Caenorhabditis elegans: one gene and its partners. The gene in region 4 interacts genetically with the main gene of each other region. Each region holds a gene or a part of one and is shown on either strand. Other genes may lie near its edges. The genes, in order: lias-1, C50D2.1, mrps-18C and lit-1.

Evidence for each region.
Region 1: of lit-1 (region 4) and lias-1, a change in one rescues a mutant of the other (synthetic rescue), as found in Caenorhabditis elegans (one study listed by BioGRID).
Region 2: of lit-1 (region 4) and C50D2.1, a change in one rescues a mutant of the other (synthetic rescue), as found in Caenorhabditis elegans (one study listed by BioGRID).
Region 3: of lit-1 (region 4) and mrps-18C, a change in one rescues a mutant of the other (synthetic rescue), as found in Caenorhabditis elegans (one study listed by BioGRID).

Annotation. Positions count from the first base shown.
Region 1 is NC_003281.10:3,502,810-3,507,018, forward strand, and holds lias-1 (Lipoyl synthase, mitochondrial), read right to left. Parts: upstream 2,229-4,209; 5' UTR 2,228-2,228; coding exon 2,128-2,227; intron 2,079-2,127; coding exon 1,981-2,078; intron 1,937-1,980; coding exon 1,635-1,936; intron 1,591-1,634; coding exon 1,355-1,590; intron 1,299-1,354; coding exon 970-1,298; 3' UTR 901-969; downstream 1-900. Other genes in the region: rpl-13A (Large ribosomal subunit protein uL13), read right to left, coding at 80-276, 324-476, 529-787; M01F1.4 (Transmembrane protein 245), read right to left, coding at 2,970-3,101, 3,158-3,393, 3,444-3,544, 3,886-4,043, 4,097-4,209. UniProt on the Caenorhabditis elegans protein: Catalyzes the radical-mediated insertion of two sulfur atoms into the C-6 and C-8 positions of the octanoyl moiety bound to the lipoyl domains of lipoate-dependent enzymes, thereby converting the octanoylated domains into lipoylated derivatives.
Region 2 is NC_003280.10:109,693-115,328, forward strand, and holds C50D2.1 (Peptidase S1 domain-containing protein), read left to right. Parts: upstream 1-1,874; 5' UTR 1,875-1,994; coding exon 1,995-2,076; intron 2,077-2,725; coding exon 2,726-3,057; intron 3,058-3,110; coding exon 3,111-3,192; intron 3,193-3,239; coding exon 3,240-3,745; intron 3,746-3,796; coding exon 3,797-3,880; intron 3,881-3,934; coding exon 3,935-4,166; intron 4,167-4,224; coding exon 4,225-4,436; intron 4,437-4,481; coding exon 4,482-4,682; 3' UTR 4,683-4,768; downstream 4,769-5,636. Other genes in the region: C50D2.2 (Cationic amino acid transporter C-terminal domain-containing protein), read left to right, coding at 1-25, 72-400, 457-829, 876-1,235, 1,293-1,538; K10B4.3 (Protein melted homolog), read right to left, coding at 4,776-5,000, 5,056-5,609.
Region 3 is NC_003281.10:4,933,855-4,938,175, forward strand, and holds mrps-18C (Large ribosomal subunit protein uL3m), read left to right. Parts: upstream 1-1,723; coding exon 1,724-1,914; intron 1,915-1,960; coding exon 1,961-2,349; intron 2,350-2,426; coding exon 2,427-2,554; intron 2,555-2,667; coding exon 2,668-2,832; intron 2,833-2,877; coding exon 2,878-3,216; 3' UTR 3,217-3,367; downstream 3,368-4,321. Other genes in the region: eri-9 (Zc3h12a-like Ribonuclease NYN domain-containing protein), read left to right, coding at 1-236, 284-688, 730-804, 855-1,064; fsn-1 (F-box/SPRY domain-containing protein 1), read left to right, coding at 3,507-3,593, 3,733-3,946, 3,996-4,321.
Region 4 is NC_003281.10:13,711,707-13,717,203, forward strand, and holds the start of lit-1 (Serine/threonine kinase NLK), read left to right. Parts: upstream 1-2,338; coding exon 2,339-2,478; intron 2,479-2,851; coding exon 2,852-2,970; intron 2,971-3,791; coding exon 3,792-3,965; intron 3,966-4,043; coding exon 4,044-4,145; intron 4,146-5,497. UniProt on the Caenorhabditis elegans protein: Has a role in the Wnt signaling pathway controlling the asymmetry of cell divisions during embryogenesis. Operates in the AB and EMS cell lineages influencing cell specification.

The DNA of each region.
Region 1 (4,209 bases), about 10 Mb from region 4:
CCTGAATATGTTTTGAAAAAACAGTAGTGATATGGTCAACAATTTTATAATACCAAACAAAACAGATTTGTGCATGGATTTAATTGTATCCAAGAGCCTCGATGATCTTCTGGTATTGAGCGATCTTTGGGGCGGCATTCTTCTTTGCTTGAACGGCGAGCTTGTCCATCTTCTTTTTCTGTTCGAAGTAGGCGGCTCCCTTCACCTTTCTCTTAGCCTCGAGCTTGGCAACAACATCCTGGAATTGCCATCCGACCTCGTGCGATAAGCGTCCAACTGAAAATTAAATAATCGTTGTGATCAAAAAAATTATAATAACTCACCGACGCAGAACTTTCTTCTTGGTTGAAGTCGGAATCTGCTGGCTGATGGGGCATGGAGAGACTTGGTCTTCTGGTATTTGGCTGGAACTCCTTCGTAGGCGCGGAGGTTCTTGAGAGCCTCGTTTCCGCGGTTGGTCTTGTGTGGGAGCATTCCTGAATAGAGAATTTATTAATTTAAGTACAGATAATGTTTAAAATCACTCACCTCTGACGGTACGCCAGAAGATCTTTCCTGGAGCACGGTAATGGAAGGCTCCACGGGCTGGGTTGATGTTACAACGCTTGCGGAGGAAGCTCATGTACTTCAGCTTGGAACGGTGGAAGTTTCCGGAGATGACGATCTCTTCAGCTCTGAGGACGACAACCTTGTCTCCTTGGAGAAGCTTCTTTGCAACGATGGAAGCCAACCGACCGAGAAGGTGGTTCTTTCCGTCAATGATGATTGCTCTGTTCGACAGACCCATCGTTTACCCTGAAATAAATACTGATAAGAAGGGGAAAGTTTAGAAATACACGAGAGTAAAGGAAGAGAGATAAATCGAAGCGAGAGAACGCGCATAACAATAAATATATGAAAACTATTTCGAGAATTTATTTGGCAAGAATCCCGCACAAATTCTTCTAATATTTACATATTTCAGTAATCTTAATTTTGTCTATTTCTCAACACATTTTTCAAATAGAATTCTCCGGCTTTGTACGAAGAGCGAACAAGAGGGCCAGATGCAACGTAAAGGAATCCCAGTTTTTTCGAATATTCTGCCCACTGGTCGAATTTCTCGGGGGTCACCCATTCTTTGACAAGCAAATGACGTTTTGTCGGCTGCATGTATTGACCGAAAGTGACAACGTCAACATTGCTAGCTCGAAGATCGGCCAAGCACTGCTTTATCTCGTCTTCAGCTTCGCCCAGTCCTAGCATAATCGATGTCTTCGTGATTAGCTTTGGGCTGACTTCCTTTGCGTATCGAAGAGCTTAAAAAATATTCAATAATATTTACGAGATTCTGAAAAAAAAAAAAGCTGCTTACCGTCCAAAGACTGCCGATATTTAGCTCGTGGATCTCTGACCCATGGAGTCAGTCTTTCAACCGTTTCAATGTTATGTGCATATACATCGAGTCCACTGGTAGCCATTTTCTCCACACTGATCTTATCTCCAGCGAAATCGGGCAATAAGCATTCGATGAGAAGTTCAGGCTTCTTGAGCTTCATCAGCTGTACTGTCTTGCGAAGATGATCGGCTCCACCGTCTGGCAAATCATCCCTGAAAATTACTTTGATTAAAAGCTCAAGATACGAATAAGTTACCTGTCAACTGATGTTAAAACAATGTATTCGACACCCCATGAAGCAACGGCGGTCGACGTATTTTCCGGTTCCATAGGATCCAATGGTGGAGGAGCTCGAGCAGTTTTGACCGAACAGAATTTACAACCCCGAGTGCAGGTATCTCCCATCAACATGATTGTCGCTGTTGCTAGACTGTCATCTGATCCTCCCCAGCATTCTCCAAGATTTGGGCACCGTGCTTCCTGACAAACAGTCGCTAGTTTGAGATGTTTCAACTGCTTTTTTAGACGACTGACATTTTCGTTTTCCGATGGAAGAATCTGAAAACAATTGTGATGAGGGGCAAAAAATTGATAGGCTATACCTTTTCTTTCTTGAGCCATGGTGGAAGTCGCAAACGTCTGTCCCCTTTCTCCAGCTTCAGTTTTCCTTCGTACTTCTCAACAGCCTCTGCCACGGATGCTAAAATTAATAATTATTTGATTATGAAACAATATTGTTTGAGTTTTACCTGATGAAATAAAATCCTGAAGCGATGGTCCATCTTTGACGAGAACTTGCGGTTTTTTCTTTGTGGCTGCAAGTCCACGGACCCATACCCGAGCTAGCATGCTTAAACAATCTACCGGTAATAATTAAACTCCTTGTGTTGAAAATCAAGAGGGACCCCCTACAACTGAAATTCTGGTTGAGAAATAGACAAATTTGGATTTTGGGAACATTTTTCCACTTTTCCTACCTAGTTTCTGACAAATCTCGCAGAATAAGAACTACAATCGATAATTAGCACTATTAATCGTTTAAAAATTAAAAATTCAATCAATTTTATGCAAAAAATCGCGCAAAAACGTGAAAAATCAGGCGAAAATCGTGAAAAAATTTTAGGATAGCGGAAAAAGCCATGCGTTGAGGTTCGATGGGTCTCGCCACGATACGCAATCAGACGTGACGGTGTATGCACAGAAAAATCCACCGTAGTCCGCAAGGCCATTCGCAACATTTTTTTTCACTTCAACAATCAAATTTAACTCATTTTTCCAGCAGAATCTTGGGAATTTTCATAAAAACCTTAATAGTGAGGTCCCTTTTGACTTTTTACGTGGTTTATTCGTGATTTTGATCATAACTAGAGTTCTAAAAAGGATAAAACGCTTTTGAAACGGAAAAATAGTTTAAATTGGCTTTCACGTTACCATAATGAGCAAAATAAACAGAAATCCGAAAAAAAATACATGTTTATTATGAGACAAAAGTTCACCAGGAATGGCAAGAACCGAAATTTGTAAAATACAGGGGTCAAACAAACTAAAGGCAGTGTCTAAAGAATGCGAAAAATATTTTTGATTAATATAATCAATGATTATGCAGCTTCACATTTCGTGGAGACGGAGCTGGGGTGTACAGAGCTGTTGGCTTCACGTGCTGGAGATAAACGTTGACAAGTACGAGGCAAAGGCAGAGAACAATTGGTCCTATGATTGCGCCCTGAAAATATATTTAAATGAGGTACTTTTTTAGTAGAAGAAGTTAAATACACAAACCTGCAATCCCAACCAGTACATTCCACCAATGATAGCCAAACCGGTCACATATGGATGAGATCCCTTAACTTCCCGGTAAAAAGTAGCATCTGCGAACATTACAGGAGCAAATGAAGCGACTGTGAATACAAGAGCAGCTGCTCCTTCTCCTCGAACCAGCCAGAGTTCGACGATTCCGAAGATTGCGACGATGTAGGGAGGCATAATTGGAATAGCAGCGAATACTGTGGCAGCCACTGGAAAAATGGGACTTAGTAAAATTAATTAAATTTTAAAATCAACTCACTTGATGGAACAAATACAATGTTCAAATCGAAAAGACTGTGCACAAAATAAGTGTAGAGACCGTAGAAAACAGCCATTTTTGCAGAAAGAACGAATACTCCGCTGAAAAAAGGATTTTTTAATTAACTTTTAAATAATAATTCCCATTAAAATATAGAAAATGGGGCGAAACTACTCAAAATGTATGGATTTTTCAATTTTCCAACAAACCCGGGCAAAGTCATTACTTCATTTTTCCCATACAAATGGGACTATTTTTGCCGAATTTTCTGAAATTTTTCCCCAAAAACATGGAAAATAGGCCAATTTTGGAGGTTTTTCTACGGAAAATTCGATAAAACCCAGAGATTAACCTAAAATTTAATTATTTAAATTGTTCGTAAAAAAGCTATTTTTCAGGACTTTACAGTCGATTTTCTAAATTTTTAAGCCTAAAAACGTACAAAATCGCATGTTCTATCGCTACAGTAATATGATGCTGATTTCCTGCTGACGAGCCATCGGCTGTAGTGACTGCTGAGAGATCAGAAGCCCATTGAAGAGGAAGCCAGCGAGTACGAGAAGCCGAGAGAAGATAATATACCATTGTAAGGAAGACAATCTGAAATTCACTTTATATCGATTTTCAAATAATCTAGAGAAATTATTCAGTACCATCTCGATAAATGTGTTGAGCAAATCCATTCCAAAGCTTAAAATAATTCCGGCGAGAGAGACCAAAAGTGAAGAGAAGATTGACACATTTACGGCAAGAATTGCTCCAATAG
Region 2 (5,636 bases), on a different chromosome or scaffold from region 4:
TGCTCGCACTGGGCACTTGCATGAAGTAAGCCAGTAAATGTTTTTATAAAATTTTGAATTCGAAATTCCAGGCTTCATCATTTTTCGGCGATTACCCTGATCTTCTCGCTTTTCTACTCATCGTTCTTGTGGCATTTTTTGTTGCTCTTGGTTCAAAAGTGTCCACTAACTTCAACTCTTTCCTAACAATTCTCAATATTGGAATTGTTGTCATAGTCGTGTTCTATGGTATAACGTTTGCTGATTTCTCTCTATGGAGTGGAGTAGATGAGAAAGGGAATTCGAGATTCTTTCCGTATGGAGTATCTGGAATGTTTGCTGGAGCTGCATCTTGCTTTTTTGCATACATTGGATTTGACGGACTTGCAACTGCTGGAGAAGAAGCTAAAGATCCTGCACGGTGAGATTAAAATTTATGTGAACTGAGTATGTGAAATCTTAGGTAATTTATTTTAGATCAATTCCAATTGCCACATTCTCCTCTATGACAATTGTCACACTCTCCTATGTTCTGATGTCAGCTTCCCTGACATTGATGATTCCATACAATATGGTTCATCCAACTGCAGCATTTTCTGATGCATTCACGATGCGTGGAGCAGAATTTGCAAGCTATGCGGTCTCGGTCGGTGCTCTTTTTGGAATGACAACTAGTTTGGTTGGAGGAATGTTTGCTCTTCCGAGATGTGTATTCTCAATGGCTGATGATGGACTTTTGTTCAGCTCCTTGGCATCCGTAAACCCAAAAACTCAAGTTCCAACTCAAGCTCTTCTTATTTTTGGATTCCTCACTGCAATCATTGCATTGCTTTTCGATATTACCACTTTGGTAAGCTGAAATACGTTTTAATATACTTTAAACAAAATATTTCAAGGTTGAATTCTTATCAATTGGAACTCTTCTTGCGTATTCTATTGTTTCTGCCTGTGTAATCGTACTTCGCTACCAACCAGCATATAATGTTGATGAGGGCCAATTCGACAATGGAGGAAAACTTCGATTCAGCATTCCATTCTGTGGCTTCCTTGATAAACTTCAGCCAGGACACTCGATTTATTATGGGATGAGCGTAATGATTGCTTCAATGTTCTTCTCAGGCCTTGGATTCAGTTCTGGATATTTATATGGAACTGTTCTCTGCCAAATATTCTTGCTAGTCAATATTGCTCTGATAATTCTCTCATTCCTCTTTATCTGCGCTCATTACCCCAATAATACTCCACTGGATTTCAAGGTATGATTGATAATTTACGCAGGAGATTTTTATGTATAATGTAAATATTCCTTTCAGGTACCTCTCGTTCCTCTTATTCCTGCCCTTTCACTCTTAATCAACACTTTGATGATGGTTCATCTTGCTTGGATCACATGGCTCCGGTTAGTTGTTTGGATGAGCATTGGTTTTGTTATCTATTTTGGATATGGAATTCATCATAGTAAAGAAGAAGTACAAGACGCTGAAAAGTTCTCGAAGAGCTCCACGTATGAGTCCGTGGTGTCTGGAGTAGTGGCTGGAGCTGGAACGACGTCTCCGTGATTATACCTTCTAAACTCATCAGTTCTGTAAATAAACCGCAGTCTCCTTTTTATATTAATTTATGTTTTCTTTAAATATCAAATCTCTCCAAATGAACACTGGTTCCTCTCGTTTGTACGCATTTCCTGTCTGTGCTTCCTAGTATTTTAGTTACTTTCATTTCTTAGTATTTTTGTTTCCTTGTTAATAAAAAACTTGTAAAATCTCAGTTTTCTAAAACAACCATAGTTACGCAATTATCAAATACATATTCATTACCCTTTCTTATCACTAGCCGCCTCGCAATTTTGCCCGATTTTATGGAAAACGAGACAAAAGGATAAGCCTCGAGGCAAGGGACTGGGCGGCGGATGACGCGAGAAATCTCGTTTTTCGAGTTTCCACCTTTTTGATGATGAAGACGTAATCCGAATCAGAAGGAGACACTGGCATTTTTTATTCTCACCGGGACACACAATGAGGAGGAACCTCGTGGATATTTTCTACATTTCCTTACTAATATTTATATCTGGTTTGGTTTTTTGCACAGATGCTTCGGGTAAATATTCTTAATATTTTTACTGTCAAAAAGTGGCAATTAATCAGTTTTTTGCTACTCATAATTTTGGAAGTCGACCAAACATTTTTTTCCCTGCATTTTTTATACTGTAATTTTGTTTTAAATATTTGTATTAAAACATTGTAGGGGTCGGAAAGTGCGATATTGCTTTGGATTTCCTCAAAACCTCTTTTTTTTTTCAAAATTTTGGCAATTTGCAAAAAACTTGATATTTGGATGTTTTGGATTATTATAAGTATATTTAGACAAAATCCCCACTGGCGCTACTTCACCTTCAATACATATTTTTTTAAATTTATTCATTCATAAACTGTTGAACATAATTGTAAGAGCATAATTTGATAATCGCGGGGAACTTTAAATGCGCACTGCACCTCTTGAAATCATTTGGGAGTAAGTTTTCCAGTCCCTTTTAATTTTGTTTTTTGTTGCAAGATTTATCAAAATTCGTGTGAGCTATAATAATAATTCAACTGCCCGTAGTACGGCTAGATGAATCATCTCAAAATTGAAGTCGGAAAACTAATCGGAAAATTCAAGTATAGCCTGCCTTATCTGTTAGCTTTATCATTTATACCGGGACAATTTTCATAAAACGCAATTCCTTATCACCAAACATCTTTTTCAGTTATCAATCGAAGATTACGTCGAGACACAGAAGCGCCCATTGCGCGTGGTTTCAATCGAGAAATTCGGCGAAAACCGCCTGCAATTCTTCAATTAATCGGTCCGTTGGCATTTGGAAGAAAAGATGGAGACGATGCAAAAATGCACGTGCCAATGTTAGGCCAATTTGGCGTTGGAGATGTTAGTCAAATGACCGCAAAGTTTACTCCGGAAGGATCTCAAGGTCAAAAAGCGAATGGAGGAACATTTGATATTGATGATGAAAAGGGACCTCAGTTAGGATATATGGATCGAGAGACAACCATGGGAGAAAGATCGGGCAGCACTGGAAAAGTAAGATCATGTGTTTAACAGGATTTTCAGAGTTTTAAAGTTTCTAATTTCAGATGTCTTTTGGAGGTCTAGGAAACATTGAGATGGGAAATATAAACGAGCAAGGAACTGGGCTTCTAGACTTTTCAAAATCTCGTAAGTCAAGTCAATTGTTTGAAATATATAATTACAACATTTTCAAGTTTTCCCGTTTCTACAACTTCCTGCTCTCAAAAACGAAACCGAAAACGTGAAAGAAGAACATACACAAGTTGATCAAACTTATACCGACTATTACTATCCGAAACCCAGATCTTACTTGGGATCTTCTTACGATATTAATCGCCCTCAAGTAGGCGCAGCAGAGTCATTAGTGTCGCTTGGAAAAAACCGAGAGGACATTGAGTTCCCGAAGCTAGTAACTCAAGAGCCACCGAAGAAGTACAGTAACCCATTTGACAGTGTTCAAATTCGTCCGAGAATTCACGCGGCTGTTACGAAGACAGTAGATGATAAAGATTTAAATTCAAAGGAAGGATTTATTGCTCAAAACGGAAAGCAAGTGGACCCGGATGAAGATACAGCGCCGCTTTTGACTGCTGAGCACAAAGTGTCGCAAGTGACAACTAGAAAGTCTATCCATGAAGTTGGTCTGTCCGTTAAAGAAATTTACGCACTTTGTGCAAAATTTGCACCAATGGCAAATCAGGTAAATGATAGAACACAATCAATTTTTACCACAAATTAAATTTTGTTTCAGCATTGCTACAAAAGTAAAGTCGAAGAACAATTCATTGAAAGATGCAGAGGATATCAAAAAGATTGCGTTGAATTTATAGCAAAAGTCAGTTGATTTGACAGATTTCTTAAAAATTATTCAACAATGTTAATTGTATAGGCTCGCCCACTTGGAGCAATTGCCAATTCTTTCTCTTCTGGAGTTGGTCTTACGTACTACGACTGGAATGTCAACGGAATCCCGTACTACCCTGTAAACGAGGAAGGTTCCATTGGAAACGGCCATCATGGAAAAGTAGATTTTGGAACGTGGGGAGGAGGATATTCTGATAATCTTGGTGTAAGAGATTTCTGGTCTCAAACCCAAGAATATGGAGCTAACTGGTACGAAGGTAGGATTTTACGGCTCAAAAAATTTTTTTATAATTTTAAGTTTTTTAACGATTTCAGGCCAGTATGGATACAAAACTGGATGGAGTATTCCAATTGTGCAGGGAATTGGAGTTGAAGGAGGTCAAGGAACGCAAGTCTCAGTGCCAATCAAAGAAGGAGAGCTCGGAAGACCGATTTCAGTGACTAATGGGTACCACGTCGGGCCATTTATGGGATTAGCAGATAGAGTTGGAGTTGATTGGCTCAACGGGGGAGTCTCGTGGAATAAGGTATGCAAAATCTTGGTAATTACAAAAACGCAGGGTTGTTTTCAGGGTTTCGCTGTCCCATTCGTTGGAGTTGGTGTGAATACCGGAACAGCTGTTGGGTTCCCTAGTGTCGGAATGATAATGAACAGGATGGGTATGGACGGAGTAGAAACTCTGAATAACATGGCAAGAGCAGCGGCTGCCCAGACGGCACAAGTGGCAGAACATAGATCTACCTCCATTGACATTGGAAATCTGTATCAATAATCTATCTTTAATCATTGAATTTCTGGAATCTCGTGCAATGTTTTCAACTAATAATTATTGTAAATAAAGTTTATAATATTAAAATCAGGTGAATTAAGCCAATTCCCTTCTTGCATGAGCCATTGCAATCTGTAGACAATGAAGCCATTCCTCCGCATTTTTTTCATCTTTGGCTTTCAGAATCATTGATGTATTGTCAGCTGTGAAAATTTCAAATGCCTTTCTTAGACTCTTTCTAGCTTTCTTTCCACGACCGAGCGATCTGACAGATCGGATAGAACGAAGATCGATTGAGGGAAGGAGTGCTCGGGAATCAGTCTGAAAAGTGACAGAAATGATGTATCAAAATTTCCGATTCCGGAAAAAAACGTACCGGCATATGTTGTGTGCTATAATTCAATGCAGCCGATGACAAGGTAAAGTATTTGGTGTTCCATCGTTTCAAAAACCTCCATCGCCCTTTTTTCTCTTTCAACTGTCCTTCCAATACTTTTTCGGCGCCTCCTTCTTCAACAAAGTATTTCACTTTTTCAGGATTCGTACAACTAATGCAATTCCACATATTATTCGTAGAGTCCATTGTAAAACAAGCGAAAAATCCAGCTTCGTCAAGTTCCTTAATCAGCTTGTTCTGGTCTTTTGAGTTTGGAAAAGCTGCAGTGATCATTGTATCAAAGGGAACACTTTTTGTTATAGAACTCGGTAAACACTTCCAACAATGTTCAAGCGTTTGGTACTGCTGTGAGTCCTTTCCGACAACTTCACCGAATTGGGTTATTGCCGAACATTCCATTTGCAGAAACATGAAATGAAGCCAAAATGCTGGATATTTAGTTTTAAATGCAAATAGGTATTCCTTGGTGAATACACAACATGGCGAAGAACGAGTTTGACACGAGAAGTGAATGACCATGCGGTGTTTGGAGTCTGGAATATCGGTTAATCGTCATTATG
Region 3 (4,321 bases), 8.8 Mb from region 4:
TCTCATCGTCGCTTCCAATAATTTCCACGAGATCTCTACTTGAAATACTTTTAAATTTCATTCTAGACGGGTGCCAAACTGTAATATACTTGCCAGATTATTATAACGATACAACTAACCAAAAAGTCGATGACTCGACTATTTTTCAATTCTTGTGCAATTCAAAACTTATACAGTTTGTTGACGGGCGGAGTCGGAGGGCTGTGGAACGACAAGTATTGCTTGAAGCTGAAAAGGTTATTCTTTTAGTTTCAAAATTCGTTAATTTGAAAATAAATTTTAGGTCCATGGAGTCTTTGTTTCCTCAGCGGAAGAGTTTCTAACCCGAAACGCTATTCAATGCTTTCCAGTGATTAATCGTTATTCTAAAAGACTTGATGAATTTCTAATTTGCACAGTATTCCTAGTCAATAATCTTCCGAAAAAAATACTCGCACAAGATTTCGTTGAAGAATCTAGAGTTTTGAAACCTGAAGGGAGTTCTTCAGCCGTATCAAGCACAACTGTCCTAGAAGAATCACATCAAAAAATCAGTGGAGCTATGGAAGACTCTGAGGATGAACCTGCTGATCCACAAACGTTGAAACAAGAATATTTGATTAAAGAGGAATGTTCTGAAATATCAGAAGATTCTGAAGAAGGAGCTATCGTCGATGTTGCTTCCAGCTCAGGCGACTTATCCGAAAACGTAGGTGCAATCTAAATTTTGTAAAGTCTAAATTTTTTCAGCGTGATCAGAAATCTGAAAACGAAGAATTTGAATATTCCCCGCATCAGTTAACTCTTGAGCAACAAACATATTTGGTTATTTTTTCCAGTTTTCCGTTCAGATTGATTTATCATCAATATTTCAGATTTCCTCTATGGCGCAACTCTCTATTTTCCATTTCCAACGCTATCGCCAAATAAGAGTATTCCTTATGATTATAAAACGTTACGTGCCAGAACTTTTACCTAGTTTTATGCAAAAAACTCGCATGGATGATGTTGCTATGGCAATTCAAGACATTCAGAACGGGAAGGACCTTCTTTATTGGCCTATTTTCTCAAAAATTGATAATTAATATGTTCAATAAAAATATTTTCGCATTTCTTTGGTTTTAAACTTTTATTTTAAAAATTCTTGGTAATATATACCCTGAAAATTGTATTTTAAACAAACAATTGCATTTTTTGTTTGAAAAATTTTATTTGAATTTTCTGGCAACAACACTCCGAAATTCCGTATGCGCGTGTTGTTTAGCCGCATACGAAACACCCAGTTTCTCAGGAGCATTGATTAAAGTCGGGCTAAAGTAAAGTTAGCAAGCTTCTTTTGAATTTGAAGTTCGTCTTTTAGTTATAATTTCATTTTAAGTAATATGCCTAACCTTCGAATTATTTGTTCTTCTCGATTTATTCGTTAGTTCCTCTGTTCTCAGTATCTTCCCGTCAGATTATCATTACCGACTTTTTTATTCCCATTTTTCATTACTTAGCAGAATCAATCACTTCATTTGGCTGAATAGCTACTATTTTAACACAAGTTTCTTTGATGCTTGTCAGAAGTGTTATTCATTCAAGGTATAAAGCTATAATTAGCTATGCCATCATTTTATATTTCGTCCAGCTCTCGTATCTCGCATTTTTATTTCCATGCGGAGTTTCTGATGATATTTTCTTCATTTTTATTCTAGAATTTCATGATCAATTATATCTCACTAATATTTAATCTTAATTACAGATGCTCCGTTCACTGGTATCCAGTGTGACGACGGGTCCGACTCCAGAATGGGCCGGGAGAATTCTAATGGCCTTCAGTGGACATATCAGTCAGCAGAGAGGTCGCAGAAGAACATTGACCCCAGCTCCATGGCTTCCGCCAGTCAAAGAGAGTGTGCCGAAAAGCAGTGTGGGTATTAGCCAGGGGACAAAGTAAGTTGCATTAATTCTTACCTGTTTAGCAAACGTTTTTGTTCAGAAATCTGCTTGAAACCGTAATTGAGAAAGAAACTCTTGCGGCGTCCACCATTGCATTTCAAAATTCTCAAGAAACCAATGTCTCAGTTGTTGACATTCCAGATTCATCAAGACGTGTGGGTCTGGTTGTCCGCAAAATCGGAATGCTCCCACAATGGACAAATGAAGGAAACCGAATTCTGTGCACTGTGCTTGAAGTTGATGAAAATCATGTTGTCAGTATTACATCACCAGAGGCTTGGTATAAATCGTCAGCCGTCGGAAAAAGAAAGGCTTTCAATCGTCACGGTCCTATGTGGAGAGTTACAGTGGGTGCCGGAAATGATGATCCAACAAAATACACGCTTGGGTACCGTAGGCAATTTGTTCGCGCAGGAATTCCAGTGAAAGGTTGGGTTTTTTTTGTGTTTTGCTCCGCTTTTCGATAGTCCTTCACCGTAAATTCATGGTTAAAAAAATAAATTCAGAGAAACTCGGATGTTTCCTGGTAACAGAAGACGCTCTCCCCAGTGCTGGACAGCCACTTGATGCCCGTCACTTCGGAGTTGGTCAATATGTAACTGCTACTGGAAAAACTATTGACTGGGGATTCCAGGTAATTTTTTTCAATTTACAATAGTCTAAAACTTCCAAAATTTCCCTTGCAAGCCAAGGAGCAAAATAATCTCTCAACCCTTGCGAAATATTTTCGAAACTAGTCGTTTTCAGGGTGGAATGCATCGATGGGGAATGCGTGGACAACCGACAAGACGTACCACAAAATCACATCGTAGAATTGGTTCCGTTGGTTCAGTCGGCGATGCTCGAATTTGGCCAGGAAAACGTATGCCGGGACATATGGGTTATGAGTGGAGGACTGTTTCTGGTTTGGAAGTAAGAAATTGCTCTCGATTTTAATTTTCAATTCATTTATTTAAGATTGTTCGAATCAATGTAGATAAACAAGTAATTTATGTGAAAGGAAGTGTACCTGGTGATATTGGAGAAACAATTCTACTTAAAGATTGCTTACAAGAAGAAAAACGTCTGAAATCCGGCCCAATGCCAACATGGGCTCCATCACTAGAAACCATCGAAGAAGAACCGGAGACAGAACCCGAAGAAGGCACAATTCCCAAAAATCTTCTTTTCAACGAAAAATTCTCGCCCAAACTGTTCCGTTTCACATCTCCATCCATTTTATTCACTGATGCCGACGCCAAGAAGGCCACTGGAAGAGATAAAACGAAAGCTAAGATTGCAAAAGTTAAAAAGTAATGGTGTATCTAATTTTATGATATATTACGGTTTTCCTTTATCGTTTTTTGTCGAAATTCGGTTTATTAGAATTTTTGTTCCGTAGATTTATAGATTTTTCATTGTTTTGCATTGTTTTTGTTTGTTCTGAATACCAAAAAGCAGAGTTTATATTCAATTATTTGTTGATTTTTTTCCAAACCGGTCGTTTACCGAGATTTACTTTATTTCTTAACATTATGCATTCTGAAACTTGGATTCTCAATTTGAAGCGAATGACAAGACTGTGGTGAGCTGGTTAATCGAGAAGTATGGCTGAAAACGACGGGGAAACGATTGTTCCAGACGAACAGTGCAATTTGACGGCCTCAACGCCTATGAAAAGTAGTGGGTTGGAAGTGAGTTGCTTTCTTTTTTCAAAATACTGTTTTTGAAACTTGAATTTTTCAAACTTCAAAGCTAGACAATATTTTTAAAAAATTGTTTATGAAAACAAGCTATAAAATAATAAAAAAGGGAAATATATTAAATTTTCAGCAAGTGGAAAGCCCGAAAGAACGAAAAACTTCAATGGTGGAATGTGATGACGAAGGGAATCCATCATCAGGAACCCCAGATGAATCACCAAAACAATTGACTCCGCATAGCATTCCCCCAAGACGACGACGTTCTCCACGACGCCCGGAAGTGTCAGCTTCTAGACTTCCTCTGAAAGTACTGAATCAGATTTTTCAGTATTTACCATTGAAAGGTAAACATATAACATTTTCCCCCTTGAAGTTACATGGCTCTGTTTTCAGACCTACGATCTGCAATGCTAACCTGTCATAGTTGGAATAACGCTCTTTCAATGGAAGACAGTGACATATGGCAGTACCTTCTTGGCAAGAAGCTTCCAGAAGCAGCAGTTTCCGATCCCTTCCTGCTCGCCGAGCTGGGATCTGCAAAAAAGAAGCTGAGAGCCTGGTATTTTGCCTGGAATACGAGCGATATTTCAAGAAATAACTACATCCGTACCAACGGTTTCACTGTTCACCGGCAGCCAGTTGCTCAGTCAACAGACGGTGTCCGTGGAAAACGAGGGATTTCAAAAGGAGTACACGCATTTGATATAACTTGGGATGGA
Region 4 (5,497 bases):
GAAACCACAGTATGCCGAAAATGTTTGGCGAATTCGGCAAATCGGTAATTCGCCGGCTTGCCGATTTGTTCAATTCCGGCAATTTGCCGGAAAAAATCGTTTGAAAGCCCAAATTTTACGCATAGATAATTAAGCCCCTCTCAGAAAAATTCAAGATGAACTAATTGGTCACACAAATTAATTAAAAGCTCTTTTTTATTTTAAAATGATTAAGTTAACAATAACCTCATGAATCTGAATCTTCGAGGTATGTCTTCCTTCAAATTCGTTGGGTTTCCAATAGAAAATGTTCAATTTTTTATCACTTTCCTTTAACTTTTTCGTAATTTTTATTTGTTTTTTTTCACTTTCTTCTTCGCAGTTGCTTTTCCGCGTCCTTGTATAGTAGTCGTCAAAGCAGTCGGCGGCGTTCTATTTTTTTTTTGCTTGCTTGCTTTTGCTATGTCTCGTGTGTGCCCAATAACAACAACAACCACATATATAGCCGTCTTCTGGATATATATGTATGTGGGTGTGTGTGTGTTATGGCTTTTCTTCGAACTTTTTATTTCACTCGGAAACTTTCAAGATTTGTCTTTTCTGATGCTTTTTAGGATTCCAGGAATTTTATTCGTTCGAACTAGTAAGTATGAAGTTAGAGTTCACAGCAAATTTTCATCAAAATTCGGAAAAAAACTGGTTTTTATATCGTAGCCCTACAAAAATAGAGAAATAAAAAAATCGAAGGGTCAGATTCACCAGTGTTATTTTTCGATAATTTGTCAGAAAAATTTGGGAATTAGAAACTTTACGAAGTCTAGTGAGTTGCAAATTTTTAAGAATCAAATTTGCTAATTTTCCTTCTTATTTTCGGATCAAATTTTCATTTCATATGAAATATTTCATAAAAAACAAAAAATCAGATTTTGTAGATAGAGCCCACAATGTAAAGGAACTACAACATCTGTAGAACCGGATCTGTTAGATTTTTTCTTCGAGTTTTACAAAATTTCAGACTTCCCAAGTTTTTTGTTTGAGTTTTGGCTCAGAAATTTCGAACATAAAACTTGGAGAATCAGATTCCCGGCTTTTAGAGAAAGTTCCGATTAGGGGCACCACAAATTGAGAAAACAAACATTCTGGAGAATCAGAGTTTCGATTTTTTGTTGCCAAAAACGACATCCTTGCTCCAACTGTCAGCATGCCAAACAACAGACACCCCTGTTGAAAATTTTAAATTCCAAATGAAACGGGGATGGGGTACATCGTAGTAATAGTAGTAGTTGGTTCTTAGGGGAGCACATCTCTGCTTCTTCTTCTTCGCAGCTTTTCGGTCTTCTGCGTCCGTTTGAGTGGTCAGTCAGATGTATGAGAGTGCGTTCCGTATCTCTCTGCGTCTCCACACCCTTGACCACTCTCTACGCCGTCGTGCTCTCTGTGTCTCGCCCGACTATCTCGAATAGAAAGTGACCACTGCTACATAATATTCGAATTCGCGGGGGGGGGGGGGTCTGTCTACTGCTGCTGCTGCTGGGTGGCCGTTTTCCTTGCCACACACTCTCTCGTCTCTCTTGCTCTTTGTGCATCTCATAGTTTGCTACTCGCGATCAGCTGTAGTCAACGTTCTCATATATACAGTATGCTTTTTGTTGAAAGTTTTGCCATATTGCCACGGCAAATTTTTTGGTACTTTAGTGGTTTTTTATTTCAAATCACCACGAACTTTTATAATTTTCCTCGATATTTGCATTTCCTCATTTTTTGCCAATGAAATTGTAAATTTTTCGCATTATTCTGTATGCTAGCACTTGTTTTCCAGCTTTACTTTACTCCCTTGTCCTCTCCCCGCCCCCAAAAGTACCAGAATAAGGTGTTTCCAAATTAGTTGTCCTTATCTTTCGAGGAGCCTCGTTTTAGAAAATGTGTACTTTTCTGCTCAATTCCCGGACACTTTTTCCGGGAATTCAGAAAAAGTCTGAACCACTACTAATTCTAATGTGATATTCTGAAGTTAGTCTTCATAATGATATATGCTAGCAATTTATATAACTAATTTTTCACATGGCGCACACATATCCTCATATCAGAACATATCAGAAGTTCTTGTTATTTTCCCGTTCCCCAAAAGTAACAGAGTAATAAAAAATTTCGAAATCCCGAGGGACGGTCCTTGGGGAGGTCGGGGTCATCACCCTCAACGTACATGGTACCGGGGGCCTGGTGGCGACAGGTAGTGAGGTCTCTCTTCTCAGTCCTGTTAGCACACACACAGTGGAGGGGTGCGTGCGCGCTCGCTCACTCGCCTACAGATCCGAGATGAATCGTAGACGCGTATTGAGGAAGACGGTGTTGGGTGGTGATGGTGTCGTGGGGAAGGGGGAAGGATGCGTACTATCTCTATATTTCTCGAGAACAAGAAGAAGATGATGACGATTCACTTTCCTTCTACTCGTCTCAGAAAGACACGGAGGACGAATTCTGCGGGTGCCTTTTCCCCGAGTAAATTTTCACATGTTTACAAAAAATGTTCATTATGAGCCTCTGTATTGCTTAAATTTGTCAATCATAAAATATTTTAAATAGGCAGTTCTCCTGAAAATAATACATTGAAAAATTTCGTTATTAAACCATTTTTGGTTTTTTTGTTGGAAATTTTTTTGTTGGCTTGATAAATTTGGCACAATTTCGTTTTCCGAGAGGAGAACAACTTTTATTTCCTTCTTCATCTATTTCCTCCTTTTTTTCAGAATTCTCTAGAAAAAAAACAAAAAAAAAAGAAGGCGTCCTCTCTCGTCATGAATGAATAACACTAGTTCCGCCTCACTTTTTCATGTTCTTTTTTCTTCTTTCTTTTTTCTTTCTTTTTTTCAAGTCCAGAAATTCCAGGATCAAGCAGTTCATCCGGCTGTAGTTCGTCATCTACAGAGCTCTACGATCTTGCAGCTGCACACGCCGCACTTATATCCCGACAGCAACAGATTCTCAGTCAGGGTGTGTTTTTGTGGAAAAATTAAAACAAATTGAGTTTTACATGTCCGGAAATGTGTGTCTCGCCACGAACTTTGTGGAATTCGTTGGGAGACCCTATTGTTTTTTTTAATAAGCTAAGAAATTGAGATTTTCGCTCATTCATGTGAAAAAAATAACGCTCGCTAATCTTTGTATTAGAATTAGAGTTGATTTGCTTTTATAATCCAGTTCAATTTGTCTACAAATTTTCTTTTTAAACAATTAAACTAGTTTGGAAAATGGATAATTAATTTTTAAACCTAACCGTTGAATTATTGATCGAAAAATGAAAATTAATTAAAAGTACTGTAAACTTTAAAGGAGCATACCTTTAGTTTCGTACTGGGTTCCACCACGATTCGAGAAATCATACATTTTATAATATTTTCTCGATTTTCGTGCCTAAGATATCTTTTTTTAATATTTAATTGAAACAAATTTTTTATTTTAAAATGTTCATTCTAACCGAAATTTCCAAACCCCATTGTTTGCTCCCGAAACACGAATTTTCAAATAGTTCAGTACTGTAAGATTTAAAGGCGCCCAAACTGTCTCTTGCAGTAGGTCTCGTCACGATCGGAGAAATTCTAAAAAAGTTTTTGTTTTTTCGTTTCGAATTTTTGTTTTTCTGCTCAATTTCTTCGCTTTGTTAGCTAAAAAATGTGTAAAATTTATCATTAAAAAAAACAAAGTTTCAACAATTTTCAGTACCTCTTCATATAATTCACATGAAATTGTCTAATTTTTAGCCAATTTCAGAGGATTTTCCGAAAAACTCAATAATTAATCAAGAATTGTTTCAGCAATCCCAATAATACCGGAACACCAGCTGGCCGCCGTCGCCGCTCACCATCAACATCACCAGCAGCTTCACCCATCGGTACAGTACCAGCTCGTCGCTGCCGCCACCCATCACAATCATCATCAGCCGCAAGCGGCACAACCACACTATTCAGCAGTTGTGCCACGATCTGACGGTTTGTTAAATAATGTTTTAAACGTTGAAAATTGTTTTTTTTTTCAATAAAAAAGTAATGTTTTTTTTAATTTTTCAGTAATACAACAACCACCACACTTTGCTCTGCACCACCATCTTCAGAATTTGGTTCAACAGCAGCAGCAACAGCAGGCTCACCATCATCATCAGCAATTAGTTGGTGAGTCGACCGATTTTTTTTCACGAAAACAAAAAATTAAAAAATAATTACCGAAAATCCGGAAAAAAACATTAAAAAATGAACGGAACAATTTCCCTTTTTTTAAAAGTTAACTTATGAAATTTTTGAAAGATAAAAAAAAATATTGGGAAAAATTTTCAAGCCTCAAAAATCTGGTTTTTAAAACTAAAAACTAATTTTAACAATAGTTTCAAATTTTTCTGTAAAAACCAAAATTCCCAACAAAATTTTTTTGAATCATGATATTTGTAAAAATCTATTTTCTTGATTTGTTAACAAACTTTCGAACCATTTCCCTTTTTGTTTACTTTTTAATATCTCAAAGTTCACGTGTAGTTCTGTTAGCCGGTCTTTACAAATTTAATCAGTTGCTGCCTGTCAAAGTGCACAAGTCCTTCTACTACTTTATTTTCCATCTCCTCTACCGTAATGTCCTTGTCTCCCCTGAATGACCTACAAAGAACACACTCCGCTCTTTCTAGAAAAGACTGCTTTCTCTGTTAAAGCACATGTTTTTTGTTGTTGTTACTCTCCGTCATCAGCTTCGGGGTGTTTTTTTTATTCTGGAATTCTTAGAATTTTCTCAGTTCACCGTGACTCACTTCTCAGAACTACTACGATTTTCTAACAGAAATCTGAAAGACATTTATTGCGAAATATGATGACTAAAAAAGAGATCAAGTTCGGCTTTTTTGAGCCATTTTTTCCGAATAAACCCGTTTTTTTTAATGTTCTGAATTTTCTATCATTTCCAAAAAAAAATATTGTGAAAAAAATTTTTATGATGCTCTTACTCTTTGCCATTTAAATTGGAACACTAATTGTCAATTTTTCAGACATTTTTCCGCGTAGAAATAAAAATTGGCCTATAAATTGTTCGTTTAACAATTAATTACTTGATAGAAAAACGATTCTTCCTTTTAATTTTTTTTTGAATAACGGAAAATTATATATAAAAAATGCCTATTTTCTTTTCTGAAATTTAGTATGAAAACCAGTTAAACACTACTTAGTTAATCTTTATTCGATATATCTTTATCAATCTGAAATTCACTAACGATTCATTTATGACGCTCAAACATGTGAACTCCGTTGATCACATACACACAAATTCACGTTATGACGAACATAACACTAGATATGTCGAAAAACGCATATACACAGATTATATTGCTAGTGACGCAATTTTTGAGTGAAATGGAAAAAAGGGAGATAATGGCAACAGCGAATACGTAAAGGTGGAATTAATTAGATTTCAGCTCAGATCTAGAAATAAGTAGAGAGTATGTGCTTAGACTACATTTTGTGCTCCTTTGGACTATATTAATTCC